4 linked regions of the Saccharomyces cerevisiae S288C genome follow. The protein of the gene in region 2 binds, or shares a complex with, the protein of the main gene of each other region. Each region holds a gene or a part of one and is shown on either strand. Other genes may lie near its edges. A codon is read from its position in the direction of its gene.

The links.
Region 1: the proteins of MTC5 (region 2) and SEC13 are in contact, whole or in part, in a cryo-EM structure (PDB 8ADL), measured with the Saccharomyces cerevisiae proteins. Residues at the interface, in NP_010413.3 of Saccharomyces cerevisiae: Thr616 (codon at 2,125), Thr617 (codon at 2,122), Pro618 (codon at 2,119), Val619 (codon at 2,116), Pro620 (codon at 2,113), Asn621 (codon at 2,110), Gly622 (codon at 2,107), Cys623 (codon at 2,104), Gly624 (codon at 2,101), Ser625 (codon at 2,098), Cys626 (codon at 2,095), Trp627 (codon at 2,092), Thr628 (codon at 2,089), Ala629 (codon at 2,086), Leu633 (codon at 2,074), Phe634 (codon at 2,071), Cys635 (codon at 2,068), Phe636 (codon at 2,065), Phe637 (codon at 2,062), Ala638 (codon at 2,059), Asn639 (codon at 2,056), Lys772 (codon at 1,657), Asn773 (codon at 1,654), Leu774 (codon at 1,651), Val775 (codon at 1,648), Ile776 (codon at 1,645), Ser777 (codon at 1,642), Lys778 (codon at 1,639), Phe780 (codon at 1,633), Leu783 (codon at 1,624); in NP_013309.1 of Saccharomyces cerevisiae: Val2 (codon at 1,599), Val3 (codon at 1,602), Ile4 (codon at 1,605), Ala5 (codon at 1,608), Asn6 (codon at 1,611), Ala7 (codon at 1,614), His8 (codon at 1,617), Asn9 (codon at 1,620), Glu10 (codon at 1,623), Leu11 (codon at 1,626), Ile12 (codon at 1,629), His13 (codon at 1,632), Asp14 (codon at 1,635), Ala15 (codon at 1,638), Val16 (codon at 1,641), Leu17 (codon at 1,644), Asp18 (codon at 1,647), Tyr19 (codon at 1,650), Tyr20 (codon at 1,653), Gly21 (codon at 1,656), Leu24 (codon at 1,665), Val38 (codon at 1,707), Trp57 (codon at 1,764), His63 (codon at 1,782), Tyr75 (codon at 1,818), Ser101 (codon at 1,896), Asn103 (codon at 1,902), His110 (codon at 1,923), Glu111 (codon at 1,926), Ser121 (codon at 1,956).
Region 3: the proteins of MTC5 (region 2) and NPR2 are in contact, whole or in part, in a cryo-EM structure (PDB 8AE6), measured with the Saccharomyces cerevisiae proteins. Residues at the interface, in NP_010413.3 of Saccharomyces cerevisiae: Asn28 (codon at 3,889), Arg44 (codon at 3,841), Pro67 (codon at 3,772), Trp68 (codon at 3,769), Gln69 (codon at 3,766), Val70 (codon at 3,763), Ala71 (codon at 3,760), Asn90 (codon at 3,703), Arg115 (codon at 3,628), Ala116 (codon at 3,625), Ile117 (codon at 3,622), Thr118 (codon at 3,619), Val135 (codon at 3,568), Thr137 (codon at 3,562), Arg158 (codon at 3,499), Ser159 (codon at 3,496), Ala160 (codon at 3,493), Ser162 (codon at 3,487), Gly179 (codon at 3,436), Asn180 (codon at 3,433), Ser202 (codon at 3,367), Ser203 (codon at 3,364), Asn222 (codon at 3,307), Trp249 (codon at 3,226), Arg250 (codon at 3,223), Met265 (codon at 3,178), Val266 (codon at 3,175), Arg303 (codon at 3,064), Phe383 (codon at 2,824), Arg384 (codon at 2,821); in NP_010852.4 of Saccharomyces cerevisiae: Gly7 (codon at 2,387), Phe8 (codon at 2,384), Phe31 (codon at 2,315), Pro32 (codon at 2,312), Pro33 (codon at 2,309), Asp199 (codon at 1,811), Met202 (codon at 1,802), Arg203 (codon at 1,799), Gln206 (codon at 1,790), Asn209 (codon at 1,781), Asn210 (codon at 1,778), Tyr211 (codon at 1,775), Ser212 (codon at 1,772), Glu213 (codon at 1,769), Cys214 (codon at 1,766), Leu215 (codon at 1,763), Pro217 (codon at 1,757), Asp219 (codon at 1,751), Glu220 (codon at 1,748), Asp225 (codon at 1,733), Ile226 (codon at 1,730), Lys227 (codon at 1,727), Ile228 (codon at 1,724), Phe229 (codon at 1,721), Pro230 (codon at 1,718), Phe324 (codon at 1,436), Leu325 (codon at 1,433), Thr326 (codon at 1,430), Ala331 (codon at 1,415), Ser332 (codon at 1,412).
Region 4: the proteins of MTC5 (region 2) and IML1 are in contact, whole or in part, in a cryo-EM structure (PDB 8ADL), measured with the Saccharomyces cerevisiae proteins. Residues at the interface, in NP_010413.3 of Saccharomyces cerevisiae: His64 (codon at 3,781), Pro67 (codon at 3,772), Trp68 (codon at 3,769), Asn90 (codon at 3,703), Gln91 (codon at 3,700), Lys92 (codon at 3,697), Ile94 (codon at 3,691), Asn104 (codon at 3,661), Ala105 (codon at 3,658), Ile106 (codon at 3,655), Val109 (codon at 3,646), His111 (codon at 3,640), Ser114 (codon at 3,631), Arg115 (codon at 3,628), Asp136 (codon at 3,565), Tyr138 (codon at 3,559), Arg149 (codon at 3,526), Ser153 (codon at 3,514), Thr154 (codon at 3,511), Trp157 (codon at 3,502), Arg158 (codon at 3,499), Arg188 (codon at 3,409), Lys189 (codon at 3,406), Gly190 (codon at 3,403), Ser191 (codon at 3,400), Thr192 (codon at 3,397); in NP_012672.1 of Saccharomyces cerevisiae: Phe292 (codon at 4,431), Gln298 (codon at 4,413), Asp336 (codon at 4,299), Met379 (codon at 4,170), Glu380 (codon at 4,167), Arg382 (codon at 4,161), Lys383 (codon at 4,158), Leu386 (codon at 4,149), Asn387 (codon at 4,146), Tyr394 (codon at 4,125), Ser395 (codon at 4,122), Val396 (codon at 4,119), Ala397 (codon at 4,116), Gln526 (codon at 3,729), Met527 (codon at 3,726), Met528 (codon at 3,723), Gly529 (codon at 3,720), Ile530 (codon at 3,717), Thr531 (codon at 3,714), Asn533 (codon at 3,708), Glu534 (codon at 3,705).

The regions. Positions count from the first base shown.
Region 1 is NC_001144.5:557,956-561,001, forward strand, and holds SEC13 (GTPase-activating protein SEC13), read left to right. Parts: upstream 1-1,595; coding exon 1,596-2,489; downstream 2,490-3,046. Other genes in the region: ubiquitin ligase complex subunit HRD3, read left to right, coding at 1-1,334; PNP1 (purine-nucleoside phosphorylase), read right to left, coding at 2,842-3,046. UniProt on the Saccharomyces cerevisiae protein: Functions as a component of the nuclear pore complex (NPC) and the COPII coat. It is one of 5 proteins constituting the COPII coat, which is involved in anterograde (ER to Golgi) double-membrane transport vesicle formation.
Region 2 is NC_001136.10:707,755-713,518, reverse strand, and holds MTC5 (Mtc5p), read right to left. Parts: upstream 3,971-5,764; coding exon 524-3,970; downstream 1-523. Other genes in the region: SAC6 (fimbrin), read left to right, coding at 1-179; ARO1 (pentafunctional protein ARO1p), read right to left, coding at 4,269-5,764. UniProt on the Saccharomyces cerevisiae protein: Component of the SEA complex which coats the vacuolar membrane and is involved in intracellular trafficking, autophagy, response to nitrogen starvation, and amino acid biogenesis. May be involved in telomere capping.
Region 3 is NC_001137.3:32,453-36,811, reverse strand, and holds NPR2 (nitrogen permease regulating protein NPR2), read right to left. Parts: upstream 2,406-4,359; coding exon 558-2,405; downstream 1-557. Other genes in the region: kinesin motor protein CIN8, read left to right, coding at 1-277; arginine permease CAN1, read left to right, coding at 3,346-4,359. UniProt on the Saccharomyces cerevisiae protein: Component of the SEA complex which coats the vacuolar membrane and is involved in intracellular trafficking, autophagy, response to nitrogen starvation, and amino acid biogenesis. Mediates inactivation of the TORC1 complex in response to amino acid starvation.
Region 4 is NC_001142.9:682,898-689,870, reverse strand, and holds IML1 (GTPase-activating protein IML1), read right to left. Parts: upstream 5,305-6,973; coding exon 550-5,304; downstream 1-549. Other genes in the region: HOM6 (homoserine dehydrogenase), read left to right, coding at 1-426; MET5 (sulfite reductase (NADPH) subunit beta), read left to right, coding at 6,586-6,973. UniProt on the Saccharomyces cerevisiae protein: Component of the SEA complex which coats the vacuolar membrane and is involved in intracellular trafficking, autophagy, response to nitrogen starvation, and amino acid biogenesis.

The sequences.
Region 1 (3,046 bases), on a different chromosome or scaffold from region 2:
ATATTCATATGGCCGAAGAGATCCTGACCACGTCGCTAGAAATAAGCAGAAGGGCACAGGGACCTATAGGTAGAGCGTGCATAGATCTGGGCTTAATAAATCAATACATCACAAACAATATTTCTCAAGCAATTTCGTATTATATGAAAGCTATGAAAACACAAGCTAACAATGGAATCGTAGAATTCCAATTATCCAAATTGGCCACTTCATTCCCTGAAGAAAAAATCGGCGACCCATTTAACTTAATGGAAACTGCCTACTTGAATGGATTCATTCCAGCCATATATGAGTTTGCAGTAATGATCGAATCTGGAATGAACAGTAAGAGTAGTGTGGAAAACACTGCTTACCTGTTCAAAACATTCGTTGACAAAAACGAAGCTATTATGGCACCTAAACTGAGGACAGCATTTGCCGCATTAATCAACGATCGTTCAGAAGTGGCTTTATGGGCTTATTCCCAACTAGCCGAGCAAGGCTACGAGACTGCTCAAGTCTCTGCCGCCTACTTAATGTACCAGTTGCCATATGAGTTTGAGGATCCTCCAAGAACCACAGATCAGAGAAAAACTTTGGCAATTTCCTACTATACAAGAGCGTTTAAACAGGGAAATATAGATGCTGGTGTTGTCGCGGGAGATATCTATTTTCAGATGCAGAATTACAGTAAAGCTATGGCTCTTTATCAGGGTGCAGCTTTGAAGTACTCTATACAGGCTATCTGGAACTTAGGGTACATGCATGAGCATGGGCTAGGTGTAAACAGAGATTTCCATCTTGCTAAACGTTACTACGACCAAGTTTCAGAACACGATCATAGATTTTACTTGGCTTCCAAATTGAGTGTTTTAAAATTACACCTAAAGTCATGGTTGACTTGGATCACCAGAGAAAAAGTAAACTACTGGAAACCTTCCTCGCCACTTAACCCTAACGAAGATACTCAGCACTCGAAGACTTCATGGTACAAGCAATTGACGAAGATTCTACAAAGAATGAGACATAAGGAGGATAGTGACAAAGCTGCGGAAGATTCTCACAAACACAGAACTGTAGTGCAGAATGGAGCTAACCATAGGGGTGACGACCAAGAGGAGGCTTCCGAGATTTTGGGCTTCCAAATGGAGGATCTTGTTACGATGGGATGTATCTTGGGGATATTCCTATTAAGTATATTAATGAGTACACTGGCGGCCCGTAGAGGCTGGAATGTCCGTTTCAATGGAGCACAATTAAATGCAAATGGTAACCGGCAGCAAGAGCAACAACAACAACAACAAGCACAAGGTCCCCCGGGCTGGGACTTCAATGTTCAGATATTCGCCATATGATGTGGTTTGTATAGATATATACATAGACTATCCATAGAAATCACCCACGCATTACCCGAAAGTTTTCAATAAAGCGAACAGCGAGAAGAAAAAAAGCGAAACCGACAGAGAATTACCACCCTAGAGCTTTAACCCCATTGAGATCAACACAATTTCGAACAGTGAAAGTGCATTGGCGAAGGTGATACAATTGGCTTCCAGCTCTGAATAATAATAACTTACAAGCGCAAAGATAACAGATAATTTTATATCAGCATACAAATGGTCGTCATAGCTAATGCGCACAACGAATTAATCCATGACGCTGTTCTAGACTATTATGGGAAGCGCCTTGCAACCTGCTCTTCTGACAAGACAATCAAGATCTTTGAAGTCGAAGGAGAAACACACAAGTTAATAGACACGTTGACTGGCCACGAAGGCCCAGTTTGGCGTGTTGATTGGGCACATCCTAAATTCGGAACCATTTTGGCATCGTGTTCTTATGATGGTAAAGTGTTGATTTGGAAGGAAGAAAACGGTAGATGGTCTCAAATTGCCGTTCATGCTGTCCACTCTGCTTCTGTCAACTCTGTTCAATGGGCTCCTCATGAATATGGCCCCCTACTGCTGGTTGCTTCCTCTGATGGTAAGGTCTCCGTAGTAGAGTTCAAAGAAAACGGTACTACTTCCCCAATAATCATCGATGCTCATGCCATTGGCGTTAACTCTGCTTCTTGGGCTCCAGCTACCATCGAAGAAGATGGTGAACACAACGGTACTAAAGAATCTCGCAAGTTTGTTACTGGGGGTGCTGACAATTTGGTAAAGATTTGGAAGTACAATTCAGATGCCCAAACTTATGTTCTGGAAAGCACCTTAGAAGGTCACAGCGATTGGGTTAGAGACGTAGCATGGTCACCTACTGTTCTTCTACGTTCTTATTTGGCCAGTGTTTCTCAAGATCGCACCTGTATTATTTGGACTCAAGACAATGAACAAGGCCCATGGAAAAAAACTTTATTAAAAGAAGAAAAATTCCCAGATGTTTTATGGAGAGCCAGTTGGTCTTTGTCAGGTAATGTACTAGCTCTTTCCGGTGGCGATAATAAAGTTACTTTATGGAAGGAAAATCTTGAGGGTAAATGGGAACCCGCTGGTGAAGTTCATCAGTGAAGAGTATCAAGAATTTAAAATGAAACATCTCAAAAGAAAAAAGAATGCAAATGAGTCTATCGACGAATTTGAAGGGAAATAAACGCATAATGTACAGTAACGTATAACAATTAAAGATTTGTGGAAGTTTTCAAAAACTTTTCAACTTTTTTCTTTGTTTTTTTTTTGCAACTTCTTATATTAATATTGTCATAGATATTTCTTATACAAAAACAAGCGAACAAAAATAATCGACGTATATACAATAGATATATAAGACTGTTTTTCTTCAATAGAACAGGCGAAATTATTCTACCGGCCGAAGGTACATCTTCCCGCTATGTAATAAATAGAGGTATTTAAGTTATAACAATTATAATTCCCCCATTACGGCAGCAATTAAGTTTTGCACGTCATTAGAGGCGATTTTACCATTCTCCAGTACTTCAGCGTGAGTCGCTTTGCCTTTTTCTAAGGGTACAGGTGATTCGTCCAACGCACTGGCAGGGCTATCCACCACGCAAGTATTGGTAATCAAACTTAAGGCCAAAACCCTCCATCCGCAATGTCTTGCAACA
Region 2 (5,764 bases):
ATTATGATCTAGTCACCCCTGGTAACACCGAGGAAGAAAGGTACGCAAACGCAAGATTGGCTATTTCTATTGCTAGAAAGTTGGGTGCTTTGATTTGGTTGGTGCCAGAAGATATCAACGAAGTTCGTGCAAGATTAATTATTACTTTTATCGCTTCGTTAATGACTTTGAACAAATGAGCCAACAAACAACTTTCGTAACCTGTTTTCTACTCAGCTTTCTTGTTCCAATGCTCCGTTATACGATTGGTTAAGTGTACAACAATATATAGCCTCAAGTATTTCTGAAGTTTTTAATATGTAATAATAGATTTCAACTTCCACCTACTTTTATTCGTGATTACTGAGCCATTGTAAAAATGCCTCCAACGCTCAATGATTCCGTTGTCGTCTTCTATCATGCCTCTACTGGATTAAAAAATCGTAAATAAACTACTTATTAAGCCATATATCCTGTGAACTTTTTTTCATATACATCCAAGGTTCTTTGAAATATGCAGAAAATGTACGTGATAGTTAAGCTTTTAGGCATCGAACATTTCCGGACAATTGCACCCACATCCAGATGGGCACTCATCACCAATCTCCCACCATATCCTCGCGCACGAAGAGTGTAAAACATGTTGACAATTTCCACATATGAAGCTACTTCTTGTCACTCTTAAATCACAGTAATTACAATTTCGGGCTAGGAATTTTTCTTCTCCAAACTCGTTGTTCTCGATCCAGTGCGTAAGTACACCATTGTAAGGACTTTTCTTGTTATTGTTAGGGGGGATGCCTTGGGAACTATAAGAACTTCTGAAATCAGTACTAACTTTTAGAATTTTGACCCTTTCTAAAGGCAGTCCCCATCTAAAAAGTAACTTTGAATATTGATAAATATAAGTTTGGAACTTTGGTATGTCTGATACCTCTAAATGTAAGAGGTCTTCTTGTTCATAAGCTTCTATAATATCGTCATGTAAAAGCTCGACTTTGATGTCAGGCATTCTACTATGAAAAGGGCTGGATGAAATGGCACGGCTGCCCTGCTTTTGGGCCGGCTCCGTAAATTTACTACTACCATTAAGAGTGTTGTGCGTCCTTAACCTAGCGTGGTGGTCGTCGGACCTTATTGAGGAGTTGTCTCCTCCATGAATGTTTTTTCCTCTCAAATGATTACCATAAAAATTTGGTGTAACAGTGCTACTCCTAGACCTGGTGGAAAAAGCATCAGATCCTTTCCAAAATGATGTGTTTTGACTTTCGTTGTCATTAAACACAATGGTTCCTTCCATATTCTCTAATTCTTGCCCATAATATCTGGCTGGAATCTTTTTTCTCCTGGCGCTTAATATGACACAGCATAACATGGCCAGCATCTGTAAATTTTGTTGCCTCTCAAAGTAGACAATCGCTTCCTTTATGAACCACTTTATCCCCATGGGATGGTTATTCCATATAGTAGTATAAGGATCGTAATCACTTTGGTCTATCAACATATCAGATAATATTTGCCAACAATGACTAATTTCATCAAGGTCAAACTTTTCTGCCACCAAAGCGTTATTTCTAGCAAATCCTTCCGGTGTGGCATCCATAAATAAGTATTCTAATGCTAGTTCTTTGCGGTCGCTTAATAAACTGCTGAAATTTTTGGAAATCACTAAATTCTTATTTTTTTTGGTAGATTCTACTGTTTTCCCGGATTCCGAATGTACTGAGCTGAAAGCTTTAAAATTACCTCTTAGTATTGGAATTTTTGTTCTCACTATTATATCATTTCTCAATATATCGTCCCAATCGTCCGCGACACTATCAAATGAATCGTCGGAAGATGTCTCGTCGTCAAAGTATGTTCTTGAATCCCCATTAGTACCGCCTCCCAGCCCCAAGGTGTCCACGTACCGCTTAGGGCGAGCTTTCAATTCATCAGCAGCGGTGATTACACTGCTGTCAACTTCCTTATCATATAAAACTTGAGGCTCAATTTTAAAAGGATGCTTCTCTACCCCTGCTTCTTTTTGAGAGAGTTTAATTATTGCATTTTGCTTTTTCTCGGGTTTTTTCTCATTTGCAAAGAAGCAGAAGAGTTCACCTGTTGCAGTCCAACAAGATCCACACCCATTTGGAACAGGTGTCGTATCAAGAGCTAAATTTCTTCCAAAATCCAAACCTTGATTCGAAGTATCTGGGAATACCAGTGCTTCCTTGTATGACTCTATATCTGATTGCGAAGAAAGGTTTTCCGGGTTTTGAGAATCGGAATATGAACTATCCAGTGACGATAATTCTTCAAAATCTATGTGATCTGCAATATCAAAATTTAATAAGGGTTCTTGCCCTTCTTCGATGTCCTCCAGGCTAACCTTCTCACCTAAAACAAATCGTATACATGGCTCCAGGCAGTAAAGATTTGAGTCAGTATACTTTTGACCAATTGTTGCTAAATTGGAAAGTATTTCTTGTCTCTTACTCATGGTTAAATTTGAATTCTCTTCAATTGTGAATTTGGGGGGGTCCCCTTTGTTTGGATAGTTGAGAGGGAAATTAATACTTATTCGTAAGAATATATAATCATCAGGATTTTCCTCTGACCAGGGGCCATTAAGCGTCAGGCACAATTCCCTTGTGGACACGGATATCTTTTCAAAAACGACTTTTGGGAACTTGTGACCAATGGCGCTTACTTCCTCTCCTAAATTTTGGATTTTTGTCTCATTGAATAAATCCTCTTGTGAAGTTGCGCTATTCATTCTAATTCCTGAGAGCCATGTTATGTGGTTTGTCTTGTTTTTCTTCAATCCAGAAGTTGTCACAAAGTTTTCTCGTAAACGCCTAAACTCATTCTTTTGAACATTTTCCCTATTTTCAGGTTCCTTATTGTATGAGCAATAATCATAATCTGGTAGTTTCTCCTCAAGTCTCTTGCCTCTGTCAAAGTTAACTTTCCCATAAATACTATCAGAAATTGGCCATAGTTTTAAATCGCAGTCTTTGGACCAAGTAACCAATTGAAATTCACGATCGTCGTAATCCCCATCGCACGTATGTCTTGATCTCCAAAGAAAGTCAATTACTCGGTCACTATGCCCTTTAAATGCATATATTGGCTGGAGTTTCGTCTTCTTATTTTGTTCACTGTCATCATCGTCGCATAGATTAATCAGATAAACTGCGTTATTGCCTCCAACCATTGGCATAATACAATAACCTTCTCCAAAAGGAAGGTAACGTCCTCTCCAGATTGGAAAATTTGTTGTTACAGTTCTCTTTGATTCTGTCGTACTTTTTGAATAATCCCAAAACTTCACCGTCCCATCGTTCGAACTCGACATAATTTCAGAATATTTGAACCGGTTAAAATCTATGCTATTTACGGAGCTTACATGGCCTTTCAAAGAACAGAGGGGAGTGGAGCCTTTTCTCAAATCCCACACAAATATATCATTTCCATGTGAAGATGCCAAGACGTTAGGATCCTTGTAATTCCACTTCACTTGAGAAGCAGCAGATCTCCATGAACTTGTCGAATAAAATGGTCTATGTGGACTTCTCATATCCCAAGCATGTACATACGTATCGACTGAACAGGTAGCTAAAACATCCGGATGTTGCGGATTGAAGTTTATATCTGTAATTGCTCTTGAGTGCCCATGAAGTACAAACTCAATGGCATTTGATGAAGATTTTGCTAAGTTCCATATGATTGCCTTTTGATTCGATGTCGAGACTATCCAATATGGTTTTGCGGGATGTGGCGACCATTGTACATCAGCAACTTGCCAGGGCGTAATATGATGCAACCACCTTGGAGGTGTAAACGGATCATCCAGGTCGATAATATAAAGACCTTGCCGACTGGCCAAAACAATATCCCTACCAGAGGGATTGATAGATACGGCATTGAACCCACCATCTACTTTCAACGATAATGATTTTCCAAAAGTGGGCGAATTATACGGACCTTCATTTATACTACTGCACATAATTAATTCTTCAGTGAATAAACGGGCCAGAGGCGATTTCCCTCAAATATCTTACAATGTTTTTGAAAGTGGGGTGCTCAGCTGATTTGCATCTTTTGATGACCTACTCTGAGATGTTCTTCGACTACATCCCACAGAATGTAAGGGTAACTTGTAATTATCTAACTGTTGCAACTTAGTAAAAATATACAGAAATTCAACGTATGTAAGCAGTCACACTGACTATTTGGCAACTCATACTTAGTAAAGATATCATAGAAGCATTGTAAAATATAAAAAAGGATAGATATATTATTGTCTACTCTTTCGTAACGGCATCAAAAATGGCCTTGAAAGGGCCCTTGAATCCTGTCCACTTTTCAAACTGAGCTACACCTTGGTGTACTAACATTTGTGATCCAGGGACAACGTGCCATTGATATTTGTCTTGTGAAATTGTCATAACGGGAGTAACGCTTGGTTTGTATGCGGCTTCCAATAAGGTTGGTACAAAAGCAGCATGGGCACCTTTCACAAGGAATCTCTCCAGCTTACTTAAAAGTTCGTCATCTAATGGTTTGTCGGCTGGTACACAGCTGACAGCAACGCCAACGTGTTCCTTAATCTCTTCTATAGATTTAGTGGACTCTATTCCAATAATGTTGAATTCAGATGGAAGTGACTCTATTAATGGCTTCAATTTCGAAGTTGTCCTGTTGATTATGAAGATCTTTTTGCAACCTAAACTGTGCAAGGCGTAAAGGGCGGCTCTAGAAGTGCCACCTGCACCGATAACCAAACCAGCGGTATGACCAACATATTCGGGAACGCCATTGTTAATTAAGGCATTACGGATACCTAACCAGTCGGTATTATCACCCTTAAACTTCTTGTTACCCAATGGTATAACTGTGTTTACAGCACCAATAACTTTAGCAGCATCAGTCAATTCATCCATGTACTGCATTATATCTAATTTCAGAGGAATTGTGACTGCAGCACCGCCAAAGTTCTTGTTTCCGTCCAAAAGTTTTTCTTTCACCAATTGTGCGGATTCAGTTTCAAATTTATCGAACTTGTGAGGTAAACCTAAAATTTCATAGCCAGTGTTATGTAAAATTGGCGATCTAGAGTGGCCAATTGGCTTTCCAACAACAAACAGTTCCTTAGGCTCGATACCTCCCATAGATGTATACATCTTGTTAATTTGTGCTACTGTCAATTGGCCAGGGGCAGCGGAGTTAGGCAATAAATCTGATGTCACAGGTGTTAAAACATTATTCAAAACACGAGAAATGCTACCTTTAGAAGTCATATTAACTGCAATTAAAGGCTTATTCTTGTGTGTATCCCTAAAGTGTTCCAGTCTCAAATTATCTTCGAAATTAACAGCCGTACCCACAAATTTTACAACATCCACATCAAGAGTTAACGCTTGATTGAATCTGTTTTCCCATTCAGCGTCGTCCCAGGAGTATAATCCTTGGAAGTCATGATGGGAACCAATGATCTTGGTGTTGCCCCTTTTGTTAATAACCTCATATTGGATATCAGTAGGTAAAGTTAGTTCTAAGTCAAGGAATTCAACACCATTCTTCAAGGCAATATCGTATAGCTCTCTCAAGGTTTTGAACTCTTCATCAGGAAAGTTGCCACCTTGCTTCATGGTTCGCACAGTAAAAATGATAGGAATACTGTCAGTGGCTTTACGCAATATAGATAACTGTTTACTCACGAAATCAGCAGAGTAATTAGCCAAATGGTCTACTCTGACCTCTACAGCCTCACAACCATAACAGATTGGAGTCAAATTCT
Region 3 (4,359 bases), on a different chromosome or scaffold from region 2:
CTCTCATATAACTAATGTGGATGATATCTATAATACGATTGAAAACATAATGAAAAACTATGGTAACAAGGAAAACGCTACCAAAGACGAAATGATCGAGAACATATTGAAGGAAATACCAAATCTAAGTAAGAAAATGCCGTTAAGGTTATCAAACATAAATAGCAATTCAGTGCAAAGTGTAATATCGCCCAAAAAGCATGCAATTGAAGATGAAAACAAATCCAGTGAAAATGTGGACAATGAGGGCTCGAGAAAAATGTTAAAGATTGAATAGTTGATATTGCCTTTCAGTCGAATATATATTCAAACTAGTGGTTAATAAAAACAAAGTATGTAAAGAATACTCAGTTATTCATTAGAAGGCAAGACAGAAGAGAAGGGTGTGAAACCACCTCTACCAAACACACCAAGAGATGAACCTAAATCAAATTTTCACAGAGCTAACTATATAAACGTTTGGATTCGTGTGTACTATCTTTATTTACGGAAATAAGTTGTAATATTAAAAAAAAAAAAAAACATTTTGATGGACAATGAATTTCTCTAATTTTAACTCAGCTATTAATTACCTTAAATTCTCCTAATTCGTTTAGGTAGCTTTCGACTTCTAATTTAGGCTTGCTCAGTAAAACGCAAATTTTATCAAATGTTTCGGCATTCCTAATAGACTCTTCAAGAATACCTTCTTCTTCGTCGCTGAGTTTCGGCATAGTACTTTTGCCTGTTGCCAACGAACTTACCCTTTGCATTTCAAATGAAACCTTTGATGGTCTTTCTGGTTTCAAGTTGCCGGATTGTGCCGTATTTCTAGACCCTGTGGCTGAAAGCAAATGATTGTGATTTCTTTTTTCAAGTAACTTATCATTATTCACTAAATCTTTTGTTATTATTGGTGTCATTTCTTTTGGTTCACGTGAACCTGCATTTATCATTACAGGAAAAGAGTAGCACCTGTAAATGATACGTTTTTCCAGGCCAAACGTTATGAACCTTCTTATATCAATGTTATTTTCTTTTAAAATCATATATTTCGACTCATACCATGTTTTCAGCGTTTGACCTTGTGAAAGTGACCTATAAAGGTCAAATAGGCATGATCTTGTTGGTAGGAATCGGTTACGATTGTTGATGACATGAATATTTGAACTCGAGCAGGAGGTTTGTGATTGCCTCCAGTCTTTATAAATTGATGAAAAAGAGGAATTTAAGGAGGAGTTTTGAGAAACTCTACTGGTAGAACTAAAAGATGTAGTTCTAGAATCCGGGTTTGACGGTATGCTAGATGATTTGGATTTTCTTCGTACAGAAAATGATGGTGAGTCTTGGTCACCTGAACCCAGACTTTTGTTTAAGGGCAAGTTCGATATTTTAGACACTTCTGGGAACGTAACATAAGATTGACAGTCACTAGCCATTAGTGGATCAGTCAAAAAATTCCTAATTAATGAAGAAGGAGCGTATATGTTAGAAAATTGGAAAATATCTGATAATGTAACACACTTATAGTATATTAAGTGACGTATGCACTCTATCACTAGGCCAGGATCACTGTTGCTTAGTTTAGAAATTTTGGCAATGCTGTTTAAGCCATCAATGTAAGGGACTATACTCATCATGGTTGGATCCCAGTTGACATCAATAATCTTCTTCAAATTTACAGACGACAGGGGCACATCTTCTAATGAGACACAAGTTGTCGGTGGTCTCAACAGCGGAAAAATCTTTATGTCTACTGCATTTCCCTCATCAATTGGTATGAGGCATTCGGAATAGTTATTCAGGTCTTGGAAAATTCTCATCAATAAATCTTGTATGGAAAATGCGGATTGCGGAAGGCCCAAATCCTTGATAAGGTCACTGTATCTGCTGCTTCTCATATCCTTTGTATCCTTTTCGGATGTAGGATGAGTTGGTGTGGTGTTACTACTAGGATTTGGCGTGGATGAAGGACCTGCAGTGGAGGGTGTTGTTGTGGAGTTTTCCAACACCTTCAAATCGAAGAAAACTGGATCTCTTTCCGATTTGGATAGCAATTGATTTTGTTCTTCAAGAACTTTGAACATTTTGCCCAGCCTAGTAATAGCTGGTTCGTAGGGAGACGTCTCACAATCATATGGGAATACAAATACAAAATTAAAACTAAAAAAATTCCTAGCATATATTGGAGAATTGATTGTCACAGGATAACATACAATCCTATATGTACCATACTTAAAAGTGATCAACTTGTGGCATAATATAGGCTTCGGTATGATGTAGTTTTTAAATGTGTTGAAATTAATACCATGATTTTTCAAATTATTTGGCGGAAACTCGTATTTAATCTTAGAACCTTCTGTAGGATGGAACACGGAGTAAAATATTGTGTGTATGGGCACAAACCCTTGGAAATAGCTTAGCATTTGCCGTTGGCCTGATGATCTGACCATTCCCTTTAGTAGAGAAAGAAAGTCGCTTCAAGCTAACCCAGTTTTCTTTTTTTTTATCACTTATCAGTCCTATTCGGAGATACAGGCAACAAGTGATAGAGGGCCCATTATGAATACGCACCTCTATGTATTTCCGAGATACGATTACTCCAGTTCCTCTTACAAGAAATGCATAAAAATAGTTACAATTAATTAGAACAAGAACTTATTTAGAACACGTTCACACTGAGTAAGAACTCTTGTCCCTTATTAGCCTTGATAGTGCTGAAAAAAAGAAAAAAAACAAAAAAAAGAAATAAAATAACGGCAAACAGCAAAGGCCACAGAACCGTATTCATGTTACTTCTGCAATATCAATCACTTACTGGCAAGTGCGTATAAATTAAACCTATTTCTTTATCATCATATTTACTTATATCTTTAACAGATTCCAAACCCTAAAGTGTCCGAATTTTCAATAGGGCGAACTTGAAGAATAACCAAGGTCAATAATATATCTTTTAGTATAACCCTGAAATTTGCCCTATAGAAATCTAGGGTTTCTGTGTGGTTTCCGGGTGAGTCATACGGCTTTTTTGAATTTCTTTTTTTGCAGTTGTCTCTATCAATGAAAATTTCGAGGAAGACGATAAGGTTAAGATAAGTAGATAAGAGAATGATACGAGATAAAGCACAAATTAGCAGAAAGAAGAGTGGTTGCGAACAGAGTAAACCGAATCAGGGAATCCCTTTTTGCAAAAACATCAATTATCCTTTTCTTTTTTTTACGTATATATCTGGAACAGAAATATATAAGTTACTATTATACTTATAGTTGGATCCAGTTTTTAATCTGTCGTCAATCGAAAGTTTATTTCAGAGTTCTTCAGACTTCTTAACTCCTGTAAAAACAAAAAAAAAAAAAGGCATAGCAATGACAAATTCAAAAGAAGACGCCGACATAGAGGAGAAGCATATGTACAATGAGCCGGTCACAACCCTCTTTCACGACGTTGAAGCTTCACAAACACACCACAGACGTGGGTCAATACCATTGAAAGATGAGAAAAGTAAAGAATTGTATCCATTGCGCTCTTTCCCGACGAGAGTAAATGGCGAGGATACGTTCTCTATGGAGGATGGCATAGGTGATGAAGATGAAGGAGAAGTACAGAACGCTGAAGTGAAGAGAGAGCTTAAGCAAAGACATATTGGTATGATTGCCCTTGGTGGTACTATTGGTACAGGTCTTTTCATTGGTTTATCCACACCTCTGACCAACGCCGGCCCAGTGGGCGCTCTTATATCATATTTATTTATGGGTTCTTTGGCATATTCTGTCACGCAGTCCTTGGGTGAAATGGCTACATTCATCCCTGTTACATCCTCTTTCACAGTTTTCTCACAAAGATTCCTTTCTCCAGCATTTGGTGCGGCCAATGGTTACATGTATTGGTTTTCTTGGGCAATCACTTTTGCCCTGGAACTTAGTGTAGTTGGCCAAGTCATTCAATTTTGGACGTACAAAGTTCCACTGGCGGCATGGATTAGTATTTTTTGGGTAATTATCACAATAATGAACTTGTTCCCTGTCAAATATTACGGTGAATTCGAGTTCTGGGTCGCTTCCATCAAAGTTTTAGCCATTATCGGGTTTCTAATATACTGTTTTTGTATGGTTTGTGGTGCTGGGGTTACCGGCCCAGTTGGATTCCGTTATTGGAGAAACCCAGGTGCCTGGGGTCCAGGTATAATATCTAAGGATAAAAACGAAGGGAGGTTCTTAGGTTGGGTTTCCTCTTTGATTAACGCTGCCTTCACATTTCAAGGTACTGAACTAGTTGGTATCACTGCTGGTGAAGCTGCAAACCCCAGAAAATCCGTTCCAAGAGCCATCAAAAAAGTTGTTTTCCGTATCTTAACCTTCTACATTGGCTCTCTATTATTC
Region 4 (6,973 bases), on a different chromosome or scaffold from region 2:
GATGTTGCTAGAAAGGTTACCATTGTTGGTAGGATATCTGGTGTGGAAGTTGAATCTCCAACTTCCTTCCCTGTCCAGTCTTTGATTCCAAAACCATTGGAATCTGTCAAGTCTGCTGATGAATTCTTGGAAAAATTATCTGATTACGATAAAGATTTGACTCAATTGAAGAAGGAAGCTGCCACTGAAAATAAGGTATTGAGATTCATTGGTAAAGTCGATGTTGCCACCAAATCTGTGTCTGTAGGAATTGAAAAGTACGATTACTCACACCCATTCGCATCATTGAAGGGATCAGATAACGTTATTTCCATCAAGACTAAGCGTTACACCAATCCTGTTGTCATTCAAGGTGCCGGTGCCGGTGCTGCCGTTACTGCCGCTGGTGTTTTGGGTGATGTTATCAAGATTGCTCAAAGACTTTAGATCAGTAAACAGACATATAAAAACATAGGTATATTTATATATAAATAGATAACATTATGCTTTACTATCCACGTTCGAATATTATTTACTTTGTGAAGAAACTCATCCATGTCATGGGGCTACTCAATCTTCTACAATCTTTCCTGTAATCCACATTTCCTTTGCGTCAAGGAAAATTGACCTTAACTTCTGATAGTCCAAGCAAGTTGATTTGAAATTTAGGATCACTTTTTGAGCATCTAATGAAGAGCTTGAAGCAGAATGAATTTTCCCGATTATGTTTCCCGGATTCACTCTGGATATATAAATGTTGTTAGGAGCTAAAAATAGGCAGCCATTTTCCCTCAATTCCGCGACGTAAGCACCCGTATGATGAATATATTGAACATATTTGAACTGTGGTTTGCCCCATGAATACATGATGTCAAACTCTATATCTTGATTTTGTAAAAATTTGGATGCCCTATTGTCTAATAAAAACCCAGATGCCTTTAAAAGATAAACGTGGTAGTAGAATTTGCTTTTAGCGAAAAGCTCCCTATCCTTGAACTCAGGATCTTCCCAAGGATTGATAGCTAACTTAATTTCCACAAAAGAGTGAAATGGATTGACCGAAGGGATAGTACAAAGTTCTTCCCAAGGAATTTCAATCATTTTCAAACCGTACCTTTCGCATAACCTTGACCAGTTCCCAACCAAATCATCGATCAATTTTGGGGTGGTAGTCAACCATTCCAATCTTATGTGAAAACAGTGGTCGGGGTTATGAACTCTGTCATAATGGACTGTACACGATTCTTGTTTCGAGGATTTTCCCGCGGGATCAACATCGATAACAAGAGAGTTACTCAGCATTAAAATAGGGCGTGATGGCTCTTTGGCGTCAGCAACTGAAGCATTCGAAGCGCTTATAGCAGGTACTACTGAAGAAAAAGGAGTCATAGCGCTTGGATCGTTTGAGCTACCAGTGGATGCTTTTCTCAACATCTGCTTTGGATCGGATAATGTAGAGCGATGGGAGTTTGTTTTTTCTAGTTTATTAGTGTCCATTACGTATTCAGGTGAGAACTGGTAAAAGTAGTGCCCGTCCAAAAAATTGTGCTTATTTAAAACGTGAACAAATAATCCCTCTTTCATCACCTTCTGCCCATATTTAATTGCATCTTCTCGAGTATCTATATCAGAGAAGTTTCTTATGAGCCAATTAACCATCTCCGAGCCAACAAAACACTTTTCATGCTTTTTCCAGTGCCATTTTCTGTTGACTAAAGTAATGCGATCTTCGCCACGTTGAATTTGATACGCCAACTTGGATAGTTCTACATTTCTGTTTAAAAGGTTATTATCATTAACAAAAATTGAATCTTTAAAATTTATAGCCGAGCTTTCTAAAGATGTTTGTTGCTCATTAATGAAGTTGTAAAGCGGGCCGGTGTAAAACATAACTTCAGGCTGTATTTCTTCTCTCTTAGTTTTTCTTCCTTTTTTTTCTTTCTCTGTTCTTAGTCTTGACCTCGTTATTGAGCCAATTAATCTTCTCAAACCCTCGACTCTGATTTCTTCTGGGTTTAAAGTTTCGCTTTTACCATTGATAACCATAGAATATGTGTTGGGAGGGATATCTGTTGGTAACACCACATATTTAGCTCGAAATCCGTGCCATTTCCTATCTATTAAGTTATCGCCATAACCTGCTAGAACCTGATCAATTTGATTCCAGTTCAAAGATTCTCTTTTAACATGAAGTGGGTCAATCATAGCATCACGAAATGAGCTCTCGTATCTCGTTTTAACCAACGGAATATAACTAGGAACCTGATCAAACAAGTTTGCTTCATCTTTTCTCAAATACCTCTCCACATCAATAATTCCACTTGACGAGCATGTTATTCTGTGTATTTCAGAGTCGATCATTAGATAAAGTTTGAACGCATCATTTTGATTGAAATCTAAATACTTGTTGACTACAGTTTCACTTTCACCACTTTCCCTAGAAAGTTCTATTTTTTCTACTTGTCGGCCCACGCAGATTTGAAAACCAGTTAACAGTCGCATATAAATCATATCACGAAGTAAGTCTTTGTATGTCTGATTATATTGTTCTTGATCTGTGTTTAAAGTCACTGAGTGATTTCTGAAGATGAAGTTCCTATCAAAATCATCCTTGGATGGAAAATCAGAAATTGTGATTGGTAACTCTGCTGGGGTTGTAAAAGACCTCCATTTACTATATTTTCTGGCCACATATTTTGGCCATACATCTTTCCAACGTATAGGCAATAATTCGTTGGCAAATTCACTACTTACCGGAATGGAAGGACTTTTAATATCCACCCAAGTTTCACTTATACGATGTTTCAATTGCTGTGTGAGGCTATAAGTGTTCGAGTCATCATGTTTTGATTTTTGCCCTTCTGTAATGAAAGCAGCCTTGTCTGACATATTAGAAAGTTTAGAGGATGTTCTGGTATGTGATGAGCCTAAATATGAGGAGGGTGAACCACTCATGATTTCATTACTAGGTAGCCCAAAAATGGATAGGTTTTTCTTTATTATCAAATTTCCACGTTTACTGATAACGTTTTCATCTGCCAGGCCTTTTTGTTGTAATTTCAGGCCACTTATTTTACTTTCAGAAGATGGTAGTGGTGTATTTGAACCTAAAGGTGAGTTATCCACATCATCTCTGAGTAATGTTGACTTTATTTTTTTATTTTTACTTGTGTCTATGTTCGAAATAAATTTTGTAATTACTCTTTGAGTAAAATCTTTCAATGAGTTCCTTTTGCTTAGTCCTTTGAGCGAATCCAGCGCCAAAGATGTGTTTTGGTTATCAGCAGATCTCACAGAGACCAATGAGTCATTCATTTCGAGATTGTCATTGTTAGAAGTGGTGGGAGTGCTAATTTTATCATTTGTAGTATTACAATCATCATAAAAAGAGGCCTCTATTGTTTTTATTGATAGATCTGGTATTACGTTTGGTTTTTGAATATCCTTAATGGCTGGGAGAGCAACTTTTGGACCTCTCCATATGAATTTTGTGTTACCGTGTGTTGTTGTTGCTGTTGCCGGGATTTTCCTTGCCTTCACAACAACATCATTCTCGAAGACGGTATCAAACTTTGAATTTAATTTCTTAGATTGTTTCGTATTAGAGCCAGCGCATAAAATTTTCACCTCGAAGGCATTTTTGTCGTAATCATTCATAAACTCGGATAGTGATTTGACTTTCTTGTTCAGCTGTAAATATTCAACATCCACTTCCCGAATTAACTCATTTTCAGTAATCCCCATCATTTGTAAGTCATAAATTTTACATCTTGGAGTCCATTCTGAGTTACTCTTTTTGTCATGATCATTCCAAAAGAAAACACTTAACCAAAGCGGTACACAATGATGAAGCTTGTTCTCAAAGTCTCGGTACCTAAAAAGTGGAACTATGTGCAATGGAGCTTTTGAAAGACATATTAAATCCATCGTCATTTCAAGAGAGAGTAGTTTTTTTCCTGTTAGCCTTAATAAACTATAATCAACGTCAAATAATCCAGACCCTGGTGAAATAATCATGACGTGCGTTGTAGTGTGTCGAAGATCTAATTGCTTGAAAGGATCCGTTAAAATTGTCGTGGCAAAATTGACCAATTCGAGAAAATTCGACTTGATTACAGGTGAAAATCTTCCATTCGCTACACTGTAACCCTTATCCGTTTGCTTGTTTAATAAATCTTTTCTGATTTCCATAAATTCTTCTCTTAATGTTTCCATAATATCAACCCAATGGATAATACTGACTTGATCTACAACTATCCTAAAATAATCCTGTGAATTTTTCAAAGATTCGCCGGGTGTTAAGTCCTTGAATGATGTATCAGACAAGTCCATTGATATAGCGAAGGCTATAGTGATAGTATGGTGGGTGTCCACATCTTTCCATTTTTTGAAGATCTTCGGGAAAAATGAATTAACCATCTTTTGAAATAATTGTTCACCAGTTTCTTCGAAGTTCCACATTTCATCAGTTATTTGAATCAAAAAAATTAATCTGGCAGATTCGGACCGAAAAATTATCCTTGTTTGTTCGCCAATATATCCAGAAACAATCTTCTTACCATTTCGATAAATTCCCTTAATAGTACCTCTGATAGAGTCTAAGAATGCCAGTCTTTGATCCATAAACACACATGTATCTACCAGCTTAGATGATAGAACCCACATATCACCTCTATTTAGTAGGCAATCTTTGATATTAAACTCTACCACATCTGCCTGTAAGTCAAATTTGTTTGGTTTCAATTTTATCCATATCCTAGACCTAGAAGGCAAATCTAACAAAGTTTGCAGTTGACCCGAAAGTATTGAAACATTAGATGTTTTTGCCCTTCTTTTAGTCTCTCCGTCAAAATCTTTTGCAATAAAATAAATTTTCTTATCTCCGTTCGATGCAGATGGATTTTTGTGATATGTTTTCAATTCTACCAAATCACCAGGTTTTATATCCGGGAACTCAACTAGATTTAGCATCACTAAATTCTCGGAAAATCGGGACTCATGATAGCCTAATTCAGCTTGATACGCCTTTATTTTCAGTCCTGGAATATGATGGCGATGGACCCGTTCCCCATTGTCATAATTGTTGTCACCACCATTGTTGACGTTATCGTCATTTTCCTTATTTGAAATCAGCTTTCTGCCGGAAGCCCTTTGTTGAGAACCAAACTGCTCTTTCTTTTGTCTTAAATTTCTATTGGAACCTACTATCAAATTACCCGATGATAAGGATATGCTATTTGCGTGAGTAGTATTGCTAGTCCTTGGAGTTTGTGAATTGATGGAAGAAATTGGTCTTTGTTTCTTCCCATGCAATTTAGCGAACATCCTTAAAAAGTGTCCCTTGTCAGTGCTGAGTTATTTCCCTGCTTAAAAAGTAGTTACAGAAACAATTCGTTGTTCTGTCACTTACTATCTTTTAAACAATAATGATTAACATAGATAGTGATTCAAATAGTCACGTGATCTCTTTTAGAGAAAGGACTTAATCCGTACACAATGATTTAATTTTTCATTACCTTATAATGTGATAGTCATAATAGCAATGAAGGATTAGTAATTACCAATATAAGAGCTCTAGCACATTAGCTATGAATTTGTCAGCCGCACCAAACTAACATAAAGGTCTTACTATGTTAAAAGTTCTTGTCCTTGAATAGAAATAAATGAATGAATCTAGTACCCTTCCCCATTCACCTAAGTTGGCTAGCCATATTTTCGGAAAAAGAGTGGGAGGAACAAGATGCTAGATAAACAAATATTCATGTTATTAAGCTTAGAATTTTGGCTCTGTTTTGTTTATTTCCAGATTTCTATTTTCTGCTATTCATCCAAAATATATTTTCTCACAAAAGCTGTTAATTTGAAACTAATGTTAAACAAAACATCTCACTTCAAATTGAAGCCAAATTAGAACCTAAGTAACCAACACACGCACAACTTTCATCCCTTATCCCACTTCTTTGAAAACTTTTAGAAGCCATTGATGGTATTGTACATTTACCTATCTTAGCAGATTCCTTATTAGCCGCCGAAATGGGTAATAAGTATTATAATCACTAAATACGAAAAATTTATTCATACCAACCCGCAACATGAACTACAAACCTTTGGGTATATAATGACAAAGACGTATCAAACCAACACATAAGGCTATTTTCAGGCAACTAATATGCTGTTTTATCTGCGGAATTTCACCAACTGACTTTTACTAAGCACTCAATAAAGATGCAGGTAAAATACGTGGATTTATGAATCCGGGTAATATAATTTGTCCACGTGATATTTCACAGAATGAATTTCATCACGTGCGTATTATCTCTTAACTCATAATGCCACAATTACCACCACACAGAGGCAGGAATGGTTTAACTGCTAAGAGACACTGGAAAATTTGAGTCATGGAGATGCGACGAATTACTGGCCGCTGCAAGCAGTTATATAAAGTGTTGGAAGACGATAGTTTTTAATGTGAAATAAAATTGGGATATAGAAAGGTTCCTTTGCTTGTTATTTTTTTTCCATCGTCTTGATATTTATTCAGATCCCTTATATACTAATAAAGTAACAGTAGGGAACGGGAACCAGAGAAAAACAAAAGATTGGCGAATGACTGCTTCTGACCTCTTGACGCTCCCACAATTGTTGGCGCAATATTCCTCTAGTGCTCCCCAAAATAAAGTGTTCTACACTACTAGCACAAAAAATAGTCATTCATCCTTCAAAGGGCTAGAATCTGTTGCCACAGATGCTACTCATCTATTGAACAATCAAGATCCATTGAATACCATCAAAGATCAACTCTCTAAGGACATTTTAACTACCGTTTTTACAGATGAAACTACTTTGGTCAAATCCATCCACCATCTATATTCTCTTCCTAATAAACTTCCATTGGTGATTACAGTGGATTTGAATTTGCAAGATTATTCCGCAATTCCTGCGTTAAAGGATCTTTCTTTCCCCATCTTAATATCTTCTGATTTGCAAACTGCAA